Oryctolagus cuniculus: one gene and its partners. The protein of the gene in region 1 interacts with the protein of each later gene in a biochemical or structural test. Links are inferred from orthologs where the notes say so. Each region holds a gene or a part of one and is shown in the gene's direction. Other genes may lie near its edges.

Region 1 (3,500 bases):
ATGGTTCACCAAACCTGCTACTAAATTTCAGGAGTTTTCTACGCTACCTGACTCCAGAGAAGTGTCCTGAAGTTTGTTATGGTGATAATATTTACACCATGGAGACTGGCAAAAGCTACAAATCCAAACTCCTTTTTTTTTTCTTTTGGAGAGCCAGTTGTTAAACCTTAAGCATTTATTTAAGTGAAATAAAAAGATATTATCTTTGAAGTTGGTTTTTGTATAAAAGTTTCTGTGGAAAAAAAGCGAAACTAATATTTTCATTCATGTTTTCAGGTATACGGAAAGACCGAAGAGGAGGGAGAATGTTGAAACACAAGCGCCAGAGAGATGATGGGGAAGGCAGGAATGAAACAGGGCCCCCTGGAGACATGAGGGCTGCCAACCTCTGGCCAAGCCCTCTGTTGATCAAGCACACTAAGAAGAATAGCCCAGCCTTGTCTCTGACGGCCGATCAGATGGTCAGTGCCTTGTTGGAAGCTGAGCCCCCCATCATCTATTCTGAGTACGACCCTACCAGACCCTTCAGTGAGGCCTCGATGATGGGCCTACTGACCAACTTGGCAGACAGAGAGCTAGTTCACATGATCAACTGGGCAAAGAGGGTTCCAGGTAAGAAGACTAAGTTCATTTTTATTTTGATTCAACAGCTTTTCAAGGATTGGTTGTGATGGCATGGGAGAAACTGTAGGAGACAAGGAAGTAATTCCTTACTATTCCATTGATTTCAAGGCTGCATCATAATTTCTTAATATTTAATATCAGTGCACTGTGATTCTCTTAGAAATCAGAAAACAATCTTTTATAATCAAAATATAGACAGTTAAAAAGCATTACTTTGACATAATTTAAGTATTTTCAACCCAGAGTATTTGCCAAAAAGATTTAAGGTGGACCCTACATGATAAATACATTCACTATCATATGTTCACAGTTTTTCAGAAGAGTTTAACATTAAATGAGCCACAACATTTTTTAAATATTGAGAACTATTTTTCCAAAATACTTCAATTACTAATAAGCATTTTACCTTTAAAATCTTTTCTGTGGACTAAGGCAATAATGATAGGTTTATGAACTGTGCCAATTATTTATCTAACATGGTTTTTACTTAGTATTTTAGGAGAAAGGGAACTAAAATAGAAAAATCAATTAGAGTTTTATCCTAGAGAAGAGCTGGTACAAAGACACAATGGTTCAAGTGATGCTTTTGTCCTCACATTGATTTTTCTCAGAAGTGGTGTTTCTGTAAAACTTGACTGCTGTTCTTGTTGATCGGAGAGAATAACTCTAGTTATTATGGAAACAAGACTAGGAAATGACCTTCTCCACAGCCCAGTATACCCATTCAGGAATTAATAAGGATAAAACCAAGTGGGAGGAAGTTAAATCTCTTTTCTGGACTCACGGGGCAAGTGAGAGATGGATTTATATAGAGATTTGCTCATTTGATTCATTTTCATGAGTGAAACTATTGCCTTTAATTAATGGATATTTTAAGTGAACCGAAAGATATAGAGTATGGTGTTTGTACTTCAAGAGTCACTGATATGAGATAGACCAAGTGAATATATGTCTGGCCTCAGAGATTCTCACCTGTGTTTTTTATAAACCAAGATATAAGCATGCAGCCCTTTAAATGGGGGTGGGGTGGGAGACCAGGTCTGAGATCCACTTGTTGGAAGGCATCTGCATATGTGAATGGAGTGGTGGATATTGGGTTGCTTGAAAGCATGGGTAATAATGGGCAAATTTGGGTTTTCAAAGTCAGTCCAACTGGCAAACAAAAACTCCTGGTCATTTTTTGGCTTAAGAGTTTCCTCGTTCACCTACATGTTCTAGCATTCTTAACGAAGCAGATACATTAAATGCACATATTGGGATCTAAACTTAATATGGCTATAGATTTTTTTCCTTTATATTTGCTATGCTCTTGTTTTTATCCTTTGGGAGAAGAGAAACAAGCAAAGAAAAAAACTAATGGCCACATCCCTGACAGCCAAGTGTGGTTACTGTTAAGTTTTATTGTCCTGTTAGCATATATTTTTCCCTCATGAAATCTTGGCCTGCTGAATACAAGATTACATTTTTCATACTTATCAGTAGATTCCCATCCTGCTATTATTATAATTATAAAACTTTGAAGAGCATTTGAAGTAACTCAAAGTAAGTTAAAATACATTACTAGTGGATGAAAGAATTCATGACAATTATCTTCTGAATTCAGGAATAAAAGTGGAGACATAAATCAGGGAAGGAAGAAATAATAACCAGGCATAACCATCCTACTGATAAGCCCAGAACTAGACAAATTTATGGAAATAAATTCTATAGAACATCATGGCGTTCATTTAAAAGACCTGGATGATTCAAAAATCCTTGGACCAAATTACATCTTGTTATTTGTTGATTTGGATAACTATAAAGATGAAAATTCAGTTATATATATATACATGTTTGTATGTGTGTGTGTGTATGTGTGTGTGCCACTGAAATACAGCTGTTGAACATCAAAAGACTTCTTTCCTGACCAAGCAAATTAAAACTTGCCATTGATTTAAAAAAGATGAAAAATGAGGAAAGAAAAATGTTTTCTGCAAGGACTATGAAGAAGAATGTCTTCAGAACATTTGACAAAGCCACATAGATCCAAATACCCTCTGTTATTTAAACAAATAGCTTTCAATAAAATCTAATATAGACAATATTATATTTTTGTGGTAATCATTTGATAATTATAATAGCAACTTGTAGAGGAGGGAATGAAATATATCATTGGCAAGAAGAATAACAAGGAAGCCAGTTCTAAAAGTCCCTGTGATTAGCTAAATGACACAAAAACCTGCAGAGGATATTGGGATAATTCTTAGGATGACTGTGAATTGAACTGAAGTTTTGAATTAATTTAATTTTAAATGACAAAATTTAATTAACACTTTTGAGCAACCAGTATAGTAGTCATAGACCATGTTTTTTACTAACAATATTGTCAGAATTGTAAACATGATTATAAGTTGAATTTTCCTTTCTCTTGATGTTTGCAAGTTATGTCTTTACTTGATATTTCTCTTTCCTAAGAATTTAGATATGGAGAGCATAATACAATCATAAAACATAATCATTCATAATACCATCACATTATGATAGACAAGCTCCTCTGTAAAGTACATGTGTAAGATCTGAACAAAGACAGAAGTAAGAACTTATTTTTTTCCTTTTGTGATTTATAAACCACAGAGGCAACAAGAAACATAAAATTTACTCAGCCAGCTCCGAGAAGGATTTTTAAGTAGCCTGTGTTGTATATTTACTCCTTGATATTTAGTTGTAGAGAAGGCTTTTCTCTTTTCAGTTTGCTTTGAAATCTATGTGTATTGGCATTTTATAATCTGTGGTTGGAGATTTAGTATTAAGCAATCAAGTTATGAAATCTTAATTTATTATTATCTTACACATAGTGAATCTAGTGAGTAAATGTTAACTCATTTAACTGAGGCTCA
Region 2 (4,109 bases), on another chromosome or scaffold:
AGATCTAAACCAGGCAGCCCAGGGCAGGTCCACATTCTCAACCCGTCTGCTCTGCTGAGACTGACATGCTTGGTACATTTGCAAATTCGCTATATGCAATACCTGACATGACAAATGCCAAAATTAATATGCAGAGTTAATACACTGGAAAGAAAGACAATTACTGAAGATGACGAGGAGAACCTATAATGAGGTTGCAAATATGAAGTACATTAGAAAAAAAAAGCAGGTTTCCTAGACTGCAAGCTTAATAAAGTGTCACCGTGGTTAAGAGAGAACAGATGCAAAAGCATCTCACCTTAGATTAAAGGACTTTCATAACAGTTCTACGTTAACGTATTATCCTCATTTTACAAACGGAGGACGAATTTATCTTCTCAAAATCACACTTAGCATCAGTGACAGAACCAAGATTAAAATTCAGGTAAGACTTCTCAAGCAATGCTATTTCTTCTGGCCTACTCCTTGAACAAGTTCTAAAAGAGTAAGAAAACCAGAGGGAATGATGGCATTTCATAACAGGAAGCTGACGGTTTTACTGTATGGGAAGAGACGGATGAGAAGCAAAAATGAAGACATACAAGTACTGGCTCGTACTACCGAGAGGCGGTGACAGTGGGCACCTTAACGCACTGCAACACAGAGCCCTTAGGAATAAGAGGTGGGCTGACGCATGAACGAAACGCTTCTCCCCTTAAAAGATTTTGTAACACAGGAGCCTGGTACAGCAACTAGAGGCAAGGAGACGCGGGCTGGAACAGGATTCGAAAAAGGGAAAAGAAAATGAATAGTCCACCCGGGATGTCAAGCCAAGAGACAGCAGCTAGGCCCCCTTCATCCAAAAGCATGCGTTCTCCGTCCACTTCGAGCCCCTCGGCGTCATCCCAAAGCCCATATAAAACGCCTACTTCGCCACTTCGTCTCCCAAACTACCTTGACTGTCTCCAGACTGGCCCCTTCCAGCACCACAATGAGCCTGCGGCCTCCGCTCTTGCTTCCTGCCCCGAGTCGAGGCCGCTTGGGCGCCGCAGCATCCCAGTCCTCTTCCCGCTCCCCAGAGCGCCACTCACGAGGCTGGAATTCACCATTGGGGGCAGCCATCTTGCCACCGGGCCGGAAATTGCGCCGGCGTCCTTAACTGAGGACCCCGCGTTCGTCCAAATGGCAAACTTCCTTCCGCCTGCCATTTTGAAAGTGGGCGCTGGAAAATGGCGACGCTTTGCCGTCTCGCGCTAGCGACGCCTCCCCGGGAGGGCAGGGTTCCAGAAGGGGGCGGGACTTCCGGGTGCGCGCGTCTGTGCGCGAAGTTTGGGTCCTCCTTGCGCGCAGGGGGCGGGTTTAGAGAGGAGCGCACTTCCGGTGCCCTTTCTCCCGGGAGCAGCACGGCCTCGAACCCTCGTGTGTGGGTGTGATCTCTGAACGAGTGGGGTCGAGGCGGGCCGCCGCCCCAGCTCTGACCTCCGGTGCCGCCGGCCTCCGGACCAGACATGGCCCAAAACTTGAAGGACTTAGCAGGACGGCTGCCCGCCGGGCCTCGGGGCATGGGCACGGCGCTGAAACTGCTGCTGGGGGCCGGCGCCGTGGCCTACGGCGTCCGCGAGTCGGTGTTCACCGGTGAGCAACCTCCACCGCTAGCCGGACCCCAGACCCCCGGCCTGCGTCGCCAGCTCCCGCGTTCCGCGAGCCCCTCACTCCCCCCGCCCTCAGCCCAGCACGTTCTCCGAGCAGCGCACTGGCCTGACCCTCACTCCTCTCCCCACAGTGGAAGGCGGGCACAGGGCCATCTTCTTTAACCGGATCGGGGGCGTGCAGCAGGACACCATCCTGGCCGAGGGCCTGCACTTCAGGTAATGGAGGGTGGAGCACAAGGACCCCGAAGCTCCCAGTCGCCGACCCACCGCTGGCTGTGGTCGGACTTGGAATGGGAGTCGGCGCTGCGCTTTCCCCGCCTCAGCCGCGTGCTGCCCGAAGTTGGATCAACACATGACCTGTTGTTCGCCCCTTGTCTGTGGTCACTGCGGGGAGGGGCAGGCCAAAGACCGCGTGGCGAGAGGAAGCCAGGCAATGCTGGGAAGCCGCAGTCTCCTAACACCTGTTCCCGTCTCTTCCCGCCAGGATCCCCTGGTTTCAGTACCCCATTATCTATGACATTCGGGCCAGGCCTCGGAAAATCTCCTCCCCCACAGGCTCCAAAGGTAGGTCTGGGTGCTTGAGAGTCACGTGGCAGATTGGACCCCCTAAAAATTGAATAAGGGAGCCCAACTAGAGACCCTTGGGGAGGTCCCTATGACCTTGGGTTCCACCTCTGCAGAAACAGCTCTAACAGAACCACCTGCCTCCCAGGGCCAACACGGTCCAGATACAGTGTGTTTGCATATTTTTATTCTTGGCACCTCCCTCCACTAACTCAGGAGAGCGCTGCCAGGCCTTTGTCTTACTCCCAAGATCAAAGCTTTATTTGAAAGCCTTTTTTCTCTCTTGCTTGACTCAGTAGCTCATCCATGAGTACCCTGTGTCCTGGAGAAATTTCTCCCCACTCCTGCACCTGCTCCTCTTCCTAGAAGCCTTTCCTTTGAGATTGCTTGGCCGCCTTTTCATCCCACCTACACACACACAGATGTGTACACACTTAGGCGAGTAGCATACCTGTAGCCTGTAATGTGCCCTGTACTGATTTTAGCACAGGTCCATTCTTCATTGGATAAATCCTGGGAGTAAAGGATTTCACTGTCTAGTAGAAGAGCCAGATGACAGGGCCTGCATTAGAGGGTGCATGAATACAATGGCAGAAGAGGAGTCGGCGCTGCCTTTGGCTCCCCAGATGCCCTCGTGTGTGGGCACACATGCTGTGTCTGTGTTCCCTGTTGGCCTGATTGCACCCCTTCCCCAAGGGGGGCAGCAGGCTGCGTGTCATTGTTCTGGGCCTAGGAAGAGAAAGGGCTCAGGGAAGGACACTCGTCCTTGGCCATCCACTGCTGACCTCACTCTCAGACCTGCAGATGGTGAACATCTCCCTGCGAGTGCTGTCTCGACCCAATGCCCAGGAGCTGCCCAGCATGTACCAGCGCCTCGGGCTGGACTACGAGGAGCGAGTGTTGCCGTCCATCGTCAACGAGGTGCTCAAGAGCGTGGTGGCCAAATTCAATGCCTCGCAGCTGATCACGCAGCGAGCCCAGGTCGGCCCCCCTCACCGTCTGCGCGGTGTCATTGCCCTGCTAGACCCAGAGAACTAAATGTCCTGAAAAGGCAGCTTCTTAGAAAAGGGCCATAGCTGCCGTTCCACTTCCACTAAAAGCTGAACTGATGGCCACGCGAGAAATGAGAAAAACCAGCACCAGAGCTCGAGGGCACTTGGGGAGGGAGCGAAGGGAAAACCTAGGCTTCTCCGGTGCCTCTTTCGGCACAGGGGCTTGTGTCACGGGTCGGCCCGACAGGAAGCTAAGTAGCGGAGACAGTTGGAGGACCTGCTAGCCTGGGGTGGCTGTCCCACCTCCGAGGCTGTGCCTCCCTCCCCCCCCCCAACTCCCCACCCCATCAAATGCGAAGATGTTCTGTTGAGGAACCAAGAGAGGCTGGGTGAGCTGATGGCCACACTTACGTGATCTGTGTTCAGGTGGTCATAGCAACACAACCTTCCTTTCAGTTCTCCAATTCCCACAAACCGGCCCTGCCCTCCCCTCCTCACCCCTGCCCCCAGGTGTCCCTGTTGATCCGGCGGGAGCTGACGGAGCGGGCCAAGGACTTCAGCCTCATCCTGGATGATGTGGCCATCACGGAGCTGAGCTTCAGCCGAGAGTACACAGCTGCCGTGGAAGCCAAGCAAGTGGGTGAGTTGCAAGGGGAGGAGGGCGCGGGCGTCTGAGAATGTGGAAGAACGGACTCTGGATCAGGCCCCTGACCTTCACATCTGTTGACTGTTCCCTCCGCCTCTCCCACCCTGTAGCCCAGCAAGAGGCCCAGCGGGCCCAGTTCTTGGTGGAAAAAGCAAAACAGGAACAGCGCCAGAAGATTGTGCAGGCCGAGGGCGAGGCTGAGGCCGCCAAGATGATATCCTTCTGCCAGAGAGCTCCACTCCTCTCCCCTGTGGGCCGGCTGATGAGACTAAGGCG
Region 3 (4,053 bases), on another chromosome or scaffold:
GAATTCCATCTGGGTGTCTCACGTGGTTGGCAGGAGCCCAATCACTTGGGCCAGCTTTTGCTGCTTTTCTAGTGCATTAGCAGGGAACTGGATCGCAGGTTGAGCAGCTAGCACTCAAAAGAGCACTGCACTCATATGCGATGTCTGCATTGCAGGAGGTGGCGTAACTGGCTGGGGCACAATGCCCACCCCAAGCCTGGACTTCACTCCTGGACTTCTCATTGAGAACTGCTTTTCTCGCCCTGACTGACAGGTTTTGGCTTAGCACGAGCCTCCTGAGGGAGAAGGCTGGTGCGATTTCACTCTACCACGCAGGTCAAGACCTGCCTGTTTGCTCTTCTCATTTCCAATCCATCATGCCAGCCCACAAGCATCAGAAGCCCCTGTGGACCCCCTGCCAGGGCCGTGCCTGTGTGCTGCTGATGCAGACCATTAGGTGTGCGTCTGCCTCAGCAGGTGCGCTGGGAGGGGCTGGTATTTTAGGTTGTTGTGTAGATTATGGGAGGCTGCCCTGCACTAGACCCAAAAGACCAAACCATTATGGACTCACTGATGCCCCAAGTCCAAGTCACCAAGCTGAAAGCAGAATGTTTATCTGACTTCTGAGAGCACAGAGGCAGGGAGGGAGAGGCCACATTCCCAGACAGGCCAGATGTGGCAGGAAAGTAACTTGGAAATTCCTCTTTTGTCTGTTTCTGCTCTCCTCAGCCCTCTGTCTATTAAACTAACATCTGCTCAGCTCACTAGAACGCTCATTTAGAACAGGGTGTTGACTGAATCTAGAATTGCACACAAAACCCAATCAGACCTTCAAGTTGAATGTTTTTTATACATTCGTCTCACCCTGTGCGACCACACAGCTCTGGGGCCGCTCTCCCAGCTGGGGCAGGGACGGCAGTCCGCCTTCCGGTAACCCCGGGCTTCTGGCGGGGGAAACCCTACTTGACCGCGGCGCTCCCGGCGTCCAGACCCGGTCCACACGGACAACGGAAGGTCCCTGAATTACCACAAGAAAACCCCAATCGGGGTCTTGGGCCAGCAACACGCTGCCCACAGCTGCCGCGCACCGCGTCCGACCCCCAGCCCTCCGCCCCCGTCTACGTACCCGCGCCCGTTCCCGGCGTCCGACTCCCGCCCCGGCCGGCTGTGGGCACGGGAGCCGGTTCCTCACACGGGCTGACGACGCAACTCGGCTCTACCCCGCAGAAGGCGTAGCCTGTGGAGTGCGCCTGCGCGGTAGGATGGCCCCGCCTCGGGGCGGGGCCTCCCCTGGGCGCGGCTCGTGCGCACTGCGCCTGCGCAGGCCGAGGGCGGTGGCTCTGGCTCCCGGTGGGGAACCGTCAGCCCCTACGTGCTGGTGGCGTGGATGTGCAACTCGGCGGGGAGAAGCGACTGAGGTAGGTGTCCTGGTGGACCCAGCGTAGGAGGCTGGGCTGCACTTGAGGCAGGACTTGTAGGGTGAGGGGGTCCTCGCCCCCCGTGTGCGTCGCTGGCCGACTGAAGCCTCCGTCTCCTCCTGGGACCCCCGAGCGCCCTCCCGGTTCCTCGGCTCTGCGCTGTAGCGGCTGTCCGCGAGCTCCGCGCCTGCCCCACCCCGTTGCCCCGCCCCTCTCCGACGCCCCGCCTTTTCCCTACGCGGCACCACGCCCACCGGAGGCCCCGCCCCTCTCCGGGGCCCCGCCCCTCTCCTGCGCCACGCCTACCAGCGGCCCCGCCCCTCTTCGGGGCCCCACCCTGGCCGAGCTACGCCCCTCGCGGCGCCACGCCCCCTCGGCCCGGGCCAGCCGCGCCGCTCCCGGGTCTCCCTCCCTCCCTCCCGTCAGGTCTCTTCCAGAGCTCCGCCCTAGCCACGTCCCTCCCCGCAGGCACGCCCCTCCCGGCGCACGCCCCTCCCCGCAGGCACGCCCCTCATGGCGCACGCCCCTCCCGCAGGCACGCCCCTCCCGGCGCACGCCCCCTCGGCCCGGGCCGGCCGCGCCGCTCCCGGGTCTCCCTCCCTCCCTCCCGTCAGGTCTCTCCCAGAGCTCCGCCCTAGCCACGCCCCTCCCTCAGGCACGCCCCTCCCTCAGGCACGCCCCTCGCGGCGCCACGCCCCCTCGGCCCGGGCCGGCCGCGCCGCTCCCGGGGCTCCCTCCCTCCCTCCCATCAGGTCTCTCCCAGAGCTCCGCCCTAGCCACGCCCCTCCCTCAGGCACGCCCCTCGCGGCGCCACGCCCCCTCGGCCCGGGCCAGCCGCGCCGCTCCCGGGGCTCCCTCCCTCCCTCCCGTCAGGTCTCTCCCAGAGCTCCGCCCTAGCCACGCCCCTCCCCGCAGGCACGCCCCTCCCGGCGCACGCCCCTCCCGGCGCACGCCCCTCCCCGCAGGCACGCCCCTCGCGGCGCCACGCCCCCTCGGCCCGGGCCGGCCGCGCCGCTCCCGGGGCTCCCTCCCTCCCTCCCGTCAGGTCTCTCCCAGAGCTGCCTCGGCCCCGGCGTCAGATCCGGGCCGCACCCTCGCGCCGTCGTAGGTGGGCCCAGGTTTCCAGCGGAGTTAGTAGTTACGGTTCCAGGAATCACGAGAGTAGGGTCAGGCCTGTTTGTAGGCGAGGCGTGCGTTCTATAGGAGTGTGGCGCTGGCAGGCGCGGGGGAGCTGAGGAGAGGCGGGGGGCTCCGTCCCAGGGCGACCCCAGGAGCGCCCGGGCCAGCCCGGGACGCGCGTGTGCCTGTGCCGCTTGTGGTGCTTTCGATGGGCCTTGTAGAACTGAGGGTGAGTTTCATCTCCACACCGCGGCGCACGCGTAGGTTGGTTTCACTTGGGTCGGGGACCTTTCTAGTGTGCCTCAGAAGTTAAATGGATTTGATTGTCAAGCGGTGTAACAGCCCTCTCCCCCTCTCCCCCTCCCTCTCTCTCTCAGTAGAAACGAGGAGGAGAAAATGAAATAATAAAGGCAGCAGGTATGAGGCAGAGCCCGAGGGAACTATGGCCACGTCAGGTGACTGCCCCGGGAGTGAGTCTCAGGTAATTTTGTCTGCAGTGTAAGAACTCGTGCCCAACGAGCGTGAATGTGACAGAAACAAGTGTCAGCTCACAAGCCAGGAGCGTCACTTGTGTCCTTGAAGGTGGCCCCCACAGCGGGCTGCTTCCGTTGAAAGAGCGTTGAGGTACAGGGTTGCAGATGGCGTTCCCGTGCTGGTGCTGGAAACATGTCTAGGGAGTACTTCCGGTGGTCAGAACACGGGGTCCTCTGCACACCTGCATCCAGCGTGGGAGTGCCTGGCTTCAGGTGCTGGCTTGGCTCCTGATGCCAGCTTTCTGCTGTGGTGCACCCTGGGAGGCAGCAGGTGATGGCTCAAATAGCGGGATATCTGCCACCCTCATGGGAGACCCAGATTGAATTCCTGGCTCCTGTCTTTGCCTGGTCCAAAGCCCTGCTGTTGTGGGCATTTGGAGAATGAACCAGCACATGAGCTTGCTCTCGCTCTCTCTCTCTGTCTCTCTCTACCTTTTAAATAAATAAAATTAAGCACTTAGTAAAAAACAAAAAAAGAAACTGCACACAAAAATATCAGTCACCTAGGACTCAGTTTTGGTGCCTGAACTAGTGAAACTAGCATGCTTTCCTAGCTATTTGATGACACCCAAGTATAATACCAGCCAATTAGAAGAGATACATGTATGCACACTGTTTTCTGCCTGGGCTACACACATAATTTCATTCAAGCTAGCAGTAAAAAAAAGAAAAAAAAAACACGTTAAATTTTAAGGAATGTTGGTTATGTAAAATAAACTAATATTCTAATAGATGTTTTAAAAAATCAAACATTTTGAGCCGGCGCCGTGGCTCAATAGGCTAATCCTCCACCTTGCGGCGCCGGCACACCGGGTTCTAGTCCTGGTTGGGGCGCCGGATTCTGTCCCGGTTGCCCCTCTTCCAGGCCAGCTCTCTGCTATGGCCAGGGAGTGCAGTGGAGGATGGCCCAGGTGCTTGAGCCCTGCACCCCATGGGAGACCAGGAAAAGCACCTGGCTCCTGGCTCCTGCCATCGGATCAGCGCGGTGCACCGGCTGCAGCGGC
Region 4 (4,240 bases), on another chromosome or scaffold:
AGGACGTCCCGGACCTGGAGCCCAGATGGAGCAAGGTGGGGAGGTGGGGTGGGAGTGACTGATGGACGCAGCGGGCAGCCCCACAACCTGGGGGTGGGGCAGCGCTGTGGTCAAGGCTTCGGTCTCAGCCCCTCTCGCGTTTTTACTCAACACTTCATCACTTCTAAATAAAAAAGGAAGTAAGCCAACTGTTACACTTAATTACGGGCAAGGAATAAATGGACAAAGTGCTCGCGAACTTGCTCTGCCGACCCTTCGCCGCGGCCACCGCTGGCCCGGTGGACAGTGCAAGGCTGGCGCGCTAGGGCAGAGTGTCCCAGAGGATAGGAGACCCAGGGACCCTGTGCTTGCCCAGCCCTTTCCCTCATTTCTGCCCTTTTAGGTCAACAATGGCAGAATTCGGGCCGGACGACCAGCCCCGGGGGCGGCGCGCGCAGGTGGGTTCCGGCGCGGGGGCGGCGCGGCTGGCGTCCCGTGCCGGCAGGGACCCGACCACAAGGCCCACGGTCTCCCGGGGTGGGGACGGGGAGGCGTGTGCGGCCCGAGCGGGGGCAGGAGGACTTGACCGAGCGCAGCGAAAGAAAACGCTGCACGAAAACAAACCCTGCCGACTTCCCCGCACCGCGCCGCGCGGACCGCGTGGGTGGAGCGGAGAGGGGGCGACCGAGTGGAATTCCGCGCGGCCGCCTCCACCCCGCCCCGCCCCGCGCCCTGCCCTGCCCTGCCCTGGTCTGGGCGCCGAGCGGAGGTCGGGGCCACGGCAGCCGCTCGTTCCGCTCGGGCTTCGCCAGTCCACGGCTCGGCTCCCCCGTAGTAAACAAAGTGTCGCCGCCGCCTCCACGTTGGTTTGCCTCTCAGCAGTCAAAACAGTAAGAGGGCGAGAGACTCGCAGAAATACTCGAGAATTACCAGAAAATAATCACAAAAAGAGAGAGAACGTGCGTGTGCGCCAACGAGAAAAACACCCCACTACCCCCCTACCAACCCACAGCCGCCTCCTCGTGGAAAACCGGGCCCCTCCCCAGCCCTCTCCCACTGGCTGCTTGGGCGGCGGTGCCGCGCGCCCATTGGCTGCGCGGGCTGTCAATCGGGGGCGGGCCGGCGCGCGCGCCGCCGCGGGCGGGGGGCGGTGGCAGATCCCGTAAGTCGGGCAGCCGCGTAGTTGCTGCTGCCGCCGCCGCCGCCGCCGCCGCCTCCAGCGCATTCAACAGGCAGCTGCGCCGCGCTCGCGCCGCCGGCGAGAGCGAGCGGCCCGCGGTGTCCGTCCGTCCGTCCGTCCGTCCGTGGCCCTGTCAGCAGGAGCGCGGCCCTGGAGCTGCCCGGCTCTGGCCAGCCGTCCTGGTGGTGCAGCGAACCCGGAGCAGCCTTGGATGTTGATGGACCCACGAAGTTAAGTTCTGGGCTCGCGCGGCTACTCCGCTGCTCCTTCCTCCCGGTTTCCGTCAGCTCGCGGCACTGACTTCGTCCTCCCCCCATCCCCCCAGGATCTCGGGCCAGCCTTTGCGCCCCCTCCGCTCCGCGCTGCGCTCCCCCCCTTCTCGGCTCTCCGGCGGCTGGGGGAGGGGCGGGGGTCACCATGGCCGAAGCGCCTCAGGTGGTGGAGATCGACCCGGACTTCGAGCCGCTGCCCCGGCCGCGCTCGTGCACCTGGCCGCTGCCCAGGCCGGAGTTTAGCCAGTCCAACTCGGCCACCTCCAGCCCGGCGCCGTCGGGCGGCGCGGCCGCCAACCCCGACGCCGCGGCGGGCCTGCCCCCAGCCTCGGCGGCCGCTGTCAACGCCGACTTCATGAGCAACCTGAGCCTGCTGGAGGAGAGCGAGGACTTCCCGCAGGCGCCCGGCTCCGTGGCGGCGGCCGCAGCGGCGGCGGCGGCGGTGGCGGCGGCCGCGGCGGCTGCCACCGGGGGACTGTGCGGGGACTTCCAGGGCGCAGAGGCGGCGGGCTGCCTGCACCCGGCGCCGCCGCAGCCCCCGGCGCCCGGGCCACTGTCACAGCACCCGCCTGTACCCCCCGCGGCTGCTGGGCCGCTCGCTGGGCAGCCGCGCAAGAGCAGCTCGTCCCGCCGCAACGCGTGGGGCAACCTGTCCTACGCCGACCTCATCACCAAGGCCATCGAGAGCTCGGCCGAGAAGCGGCTCACGCTGTCTCAGATCTACGAGTGGATGGTCAAGAGCGTGCCCTACTTCAAGGATAAGGGCGATAGCAACAGCTCGGCGGGCTGGAAGGTGAGCGGCCGGACCGGGGCGCGGTGGGGCAGGTGCGGGGGTGGCTGGGCGGGTCGCGCGGGCGGCCGAGGGCGGGTGGGAAGTGGCAGGTGCGGGGGCTTGCCCGGGCGGAGGGGAGGCGCGCGCGCGCCGCAGAGTTGCGGTGGGACAGGCACAGGGGCGTGTTGGGGGGGAACTGAGGCGTGAAGAAAGTGCGTCAGGAACTGGGCGTCAGAGCGGGCAGGAAAGTTTGCCAGTCAGAGAGAGAAGGTTTCACGCGGAGCGGCTGCCCCTTTTGCCTCCCGGACCTCCGGCGGGGAGGGCGGCTCCTCTCCGCCCTCGCAGCGCGGGGCCGTTTCCGCCGCGCCGAGCGGTGGAGGGGGCGGCGAGGGGGGCACCCAAACCCGGGGGGCACGGCTGCAGGTGGAGGGGACAGCCTTGGGACGGTGCGGGGTCGGCCGCGCCACTTCTGGAGGCCGATGCGCTTTTGGCTTTGTTTTGGTTTTATCCCGGGTGGCCTCGGGTGCTGGGGTCCAGGCGCGCCGAGCCCGAGGGAGCGCCTCCGACACGTGCGAAGGGGCGGCCACCGCCTGCGGAGCGCCGGCGCCCGGCCGCGCGGGGCGAGCTAAGTTCAAGTGTGACCCTCGGCGGGGGCGGGCGCCGGCGGCGGCTGGGGAGGGGCCGCGGGCGCAGGAAGCGAGCGCCTTTAAAGGGCCAGCGCGGCGGGCCGGCCCCGGTCCACGCAGGGAAGCGCCCCAAACATGGGCTTGGCCACGGTGTGAGGCTAATAATTAGAAACACGGAGGCAGGCCAGGGTGGGTGTGTGTGTGCGCGCCCGCGCGCCTTTTCTTGGCCTCGCCACCTCAGTGTTATGAAGCGCTGGTGCGCCGGTGAGGGCCGACGCAGGGGGTTTTGTGACCCTTGCGGCCGGGGAAGTCGCAGAGGAGGTGCGCGTCCGGGCCACGGCAGGACATCCTGAGCGAGGCTGGCAAAGACTCGGGTGGGGGGTGGCTGGCGCATCCCTTCCCCGCCTTGAAGGCCGCGGGAGGACGCGCTCGGCGCGGGCCCCCGAAAGCCGACAGTTTCTCACGGTTTTGGATGTGAAAAGACTCGCTGCTTGAATCAGACCCCTTTCTCGCCTCGCCTGGCCCCTTAGCGTGACTGTACGGCGTAACACGGAGTGGTCTTCCCCGCGCGAGCGTTACAGCGACTGGCTCACATACCCTGTCGGTTCTGTGGTTAATGTGTCAGAAAGGTCAGCTTCCTCACATCTTATTGAGGTTCCTTGGAGAAGGAGTCAGGACTTTATTTTTCCTAACAGTGTTTAAGAGTAAAAGTATCACTTATAACCTCATTAGTAGGCATTACGTGCAGTTTTGCCAAGTGGTTCGTAAAAGTAAAGTGCCTTCTTGCTGTAGGCTCCTTGTATCTTGTGTTCTCAGTCACAAAATGAAGATTGTCAAATCCAATTTCACTTAGTATTGGAATTTAAGTACTTGACTGATTTGCTCATCTATCAATTCTATTTAAGCTATTAAAAAGCATTTGCAATTAAATTTTTTTTTTGACATTCAGAGTACTGTGTGTACTTAGCCATTCTTTCACGTCCTTGGAAATGGATACAACTTACTTCAACTTGCTGGAGTAGCTTTCTTTAAAGATAAGGGCAGTGTTTCAGGATATTTTTAGTTTGCCTCTCAAGGCATTGTCAAGGTATTCTGACACTAGGAATATAACTTAGAACTTTTTAAGGCTTAGACTTTATATGTATGTAAACTCTAAGGTCATATCACCCCCTTAACCATTTTCTTAAGTTCTTGTTTTAACATTTTTTTTTTAAAGATGCAGGTATAATTTTGTATTTTAAAATTGTCTTTAGGAGAGCTATTAAGTGCTGAGTAGGGACCATGTGCTGAGTGGCAGCTCCCAGAGGGAACTCCGAGCCTGGCCTTGGGAGGGAGTAGTCTGTGTTTGTCAGATGAGTAGATGTTTCAGGAGTAATGAAGAATCAGTTGGTGCAAGTCAGATTCCAGCAAG

The links.
Region 2: the proteins of ESR1 (region 1) and PHB2 form a complex in vitro, tested with the Homo sapiens proteins (3 studies listed by BioGRID). The link is inferred for Oryctolagus cuniculus from reciprocal best matches to the Homo sapiens genes ESR1 and PHB2.
Region 3: the proteins of ESR1 (region 1) and PRMT2 form a complex in vitro, tested with the Homo sapiens proteins (2 studies listed by BioGRID and IntAct). The link is inferred for Oryctolagus cuniculus from reciprocal best matches to the Homo sapiens genes ESR1 and PRMT2.
Region 4: the proteins of ESR1 (region 1) and FOXO1 form a complex in vitro, tested with the Homo sapiens proteins (2 studies listed by BioGRID). The link is inferred for Oryctolagus cuniculus from reciprocal best matches to the Homo sapiens genes ESR1 and FOXO1.

The regions. Positions count from the first base shown.
Region 1 is NC_091436.1:15,939,911-15,943,410, reverse strand, and holds part of ESR1 (estrogen receptor), read left to right. Parts: intron 1-276; coding exon 277-612; intron 613-3,500.
Region 2 is NC_091440.1:102,571,499-102,575,607, forward strand, and holds the start of PHB2 (prohibitin-2), read left to right. Parts: upstream 1-1,309; 5' UTR 1,310-1,487; coding exon 1,488-1,614; intron 1,615-1,762; coding exon 1,763-1,847; intron 1,848-2,115; coding exon 2,116-2,195; intron 2,196-2,991; coding exon 2,992-3,176; intron 3,177-3,697; coding exon 3,698-3,827; intron 3,828-3,943; coding exon 3,944-4,047; exon of another isoform or gene 4,048-4,083; intron 4,084-4,088; exon of another isoform or gene 4,089-4,109. Other genes in the region: EMG1 (ribosomal RNA small subunit methyltransferase NEP1), read right to left, coding at 934-1,101.
Region 3 is NC_091435.1:202,865-206,917, reverse strand, and holds the start of PRMT2 (protein arginine N-methyltransferase 2), read left to right. Parts: upstream 1-1,253; 5' UTR 1,254-1,397; intron 1,398-2,431; exon of another isoform or gene 2,432-2,745; intron 2,746-2,893; exon of another isoform or gene 2,894-2,896; 5' UTR 2,897-2,958; coding exon 2,959-2,997; intron 2,998-4,053. UniProt on the Homo sapiens protein: Arginine methyltransferase that methylates the guanidino nitrogens of arginyl residues in proteins such as STAT3, FBL, histone H4. Acts as a coactivator (with NCOA2) of the androgen receptor (AR)-mediated transactivation.
Region 4 is NC_091440.1:72,837,647-72,841,886, forward strand, and holds the start of FOXO1 (forkhead box protein O1), read left to right. Parts: upstream 1-1,440; 5' UTR 1,441-1,576; coding exon 1,577-2,224; intron 2,225-4,240. UniProt on the Homo sapiens protein: Transcription factor that is the main target of insulin signaling and regulates metabolic homeostasis in response to oxidative stress.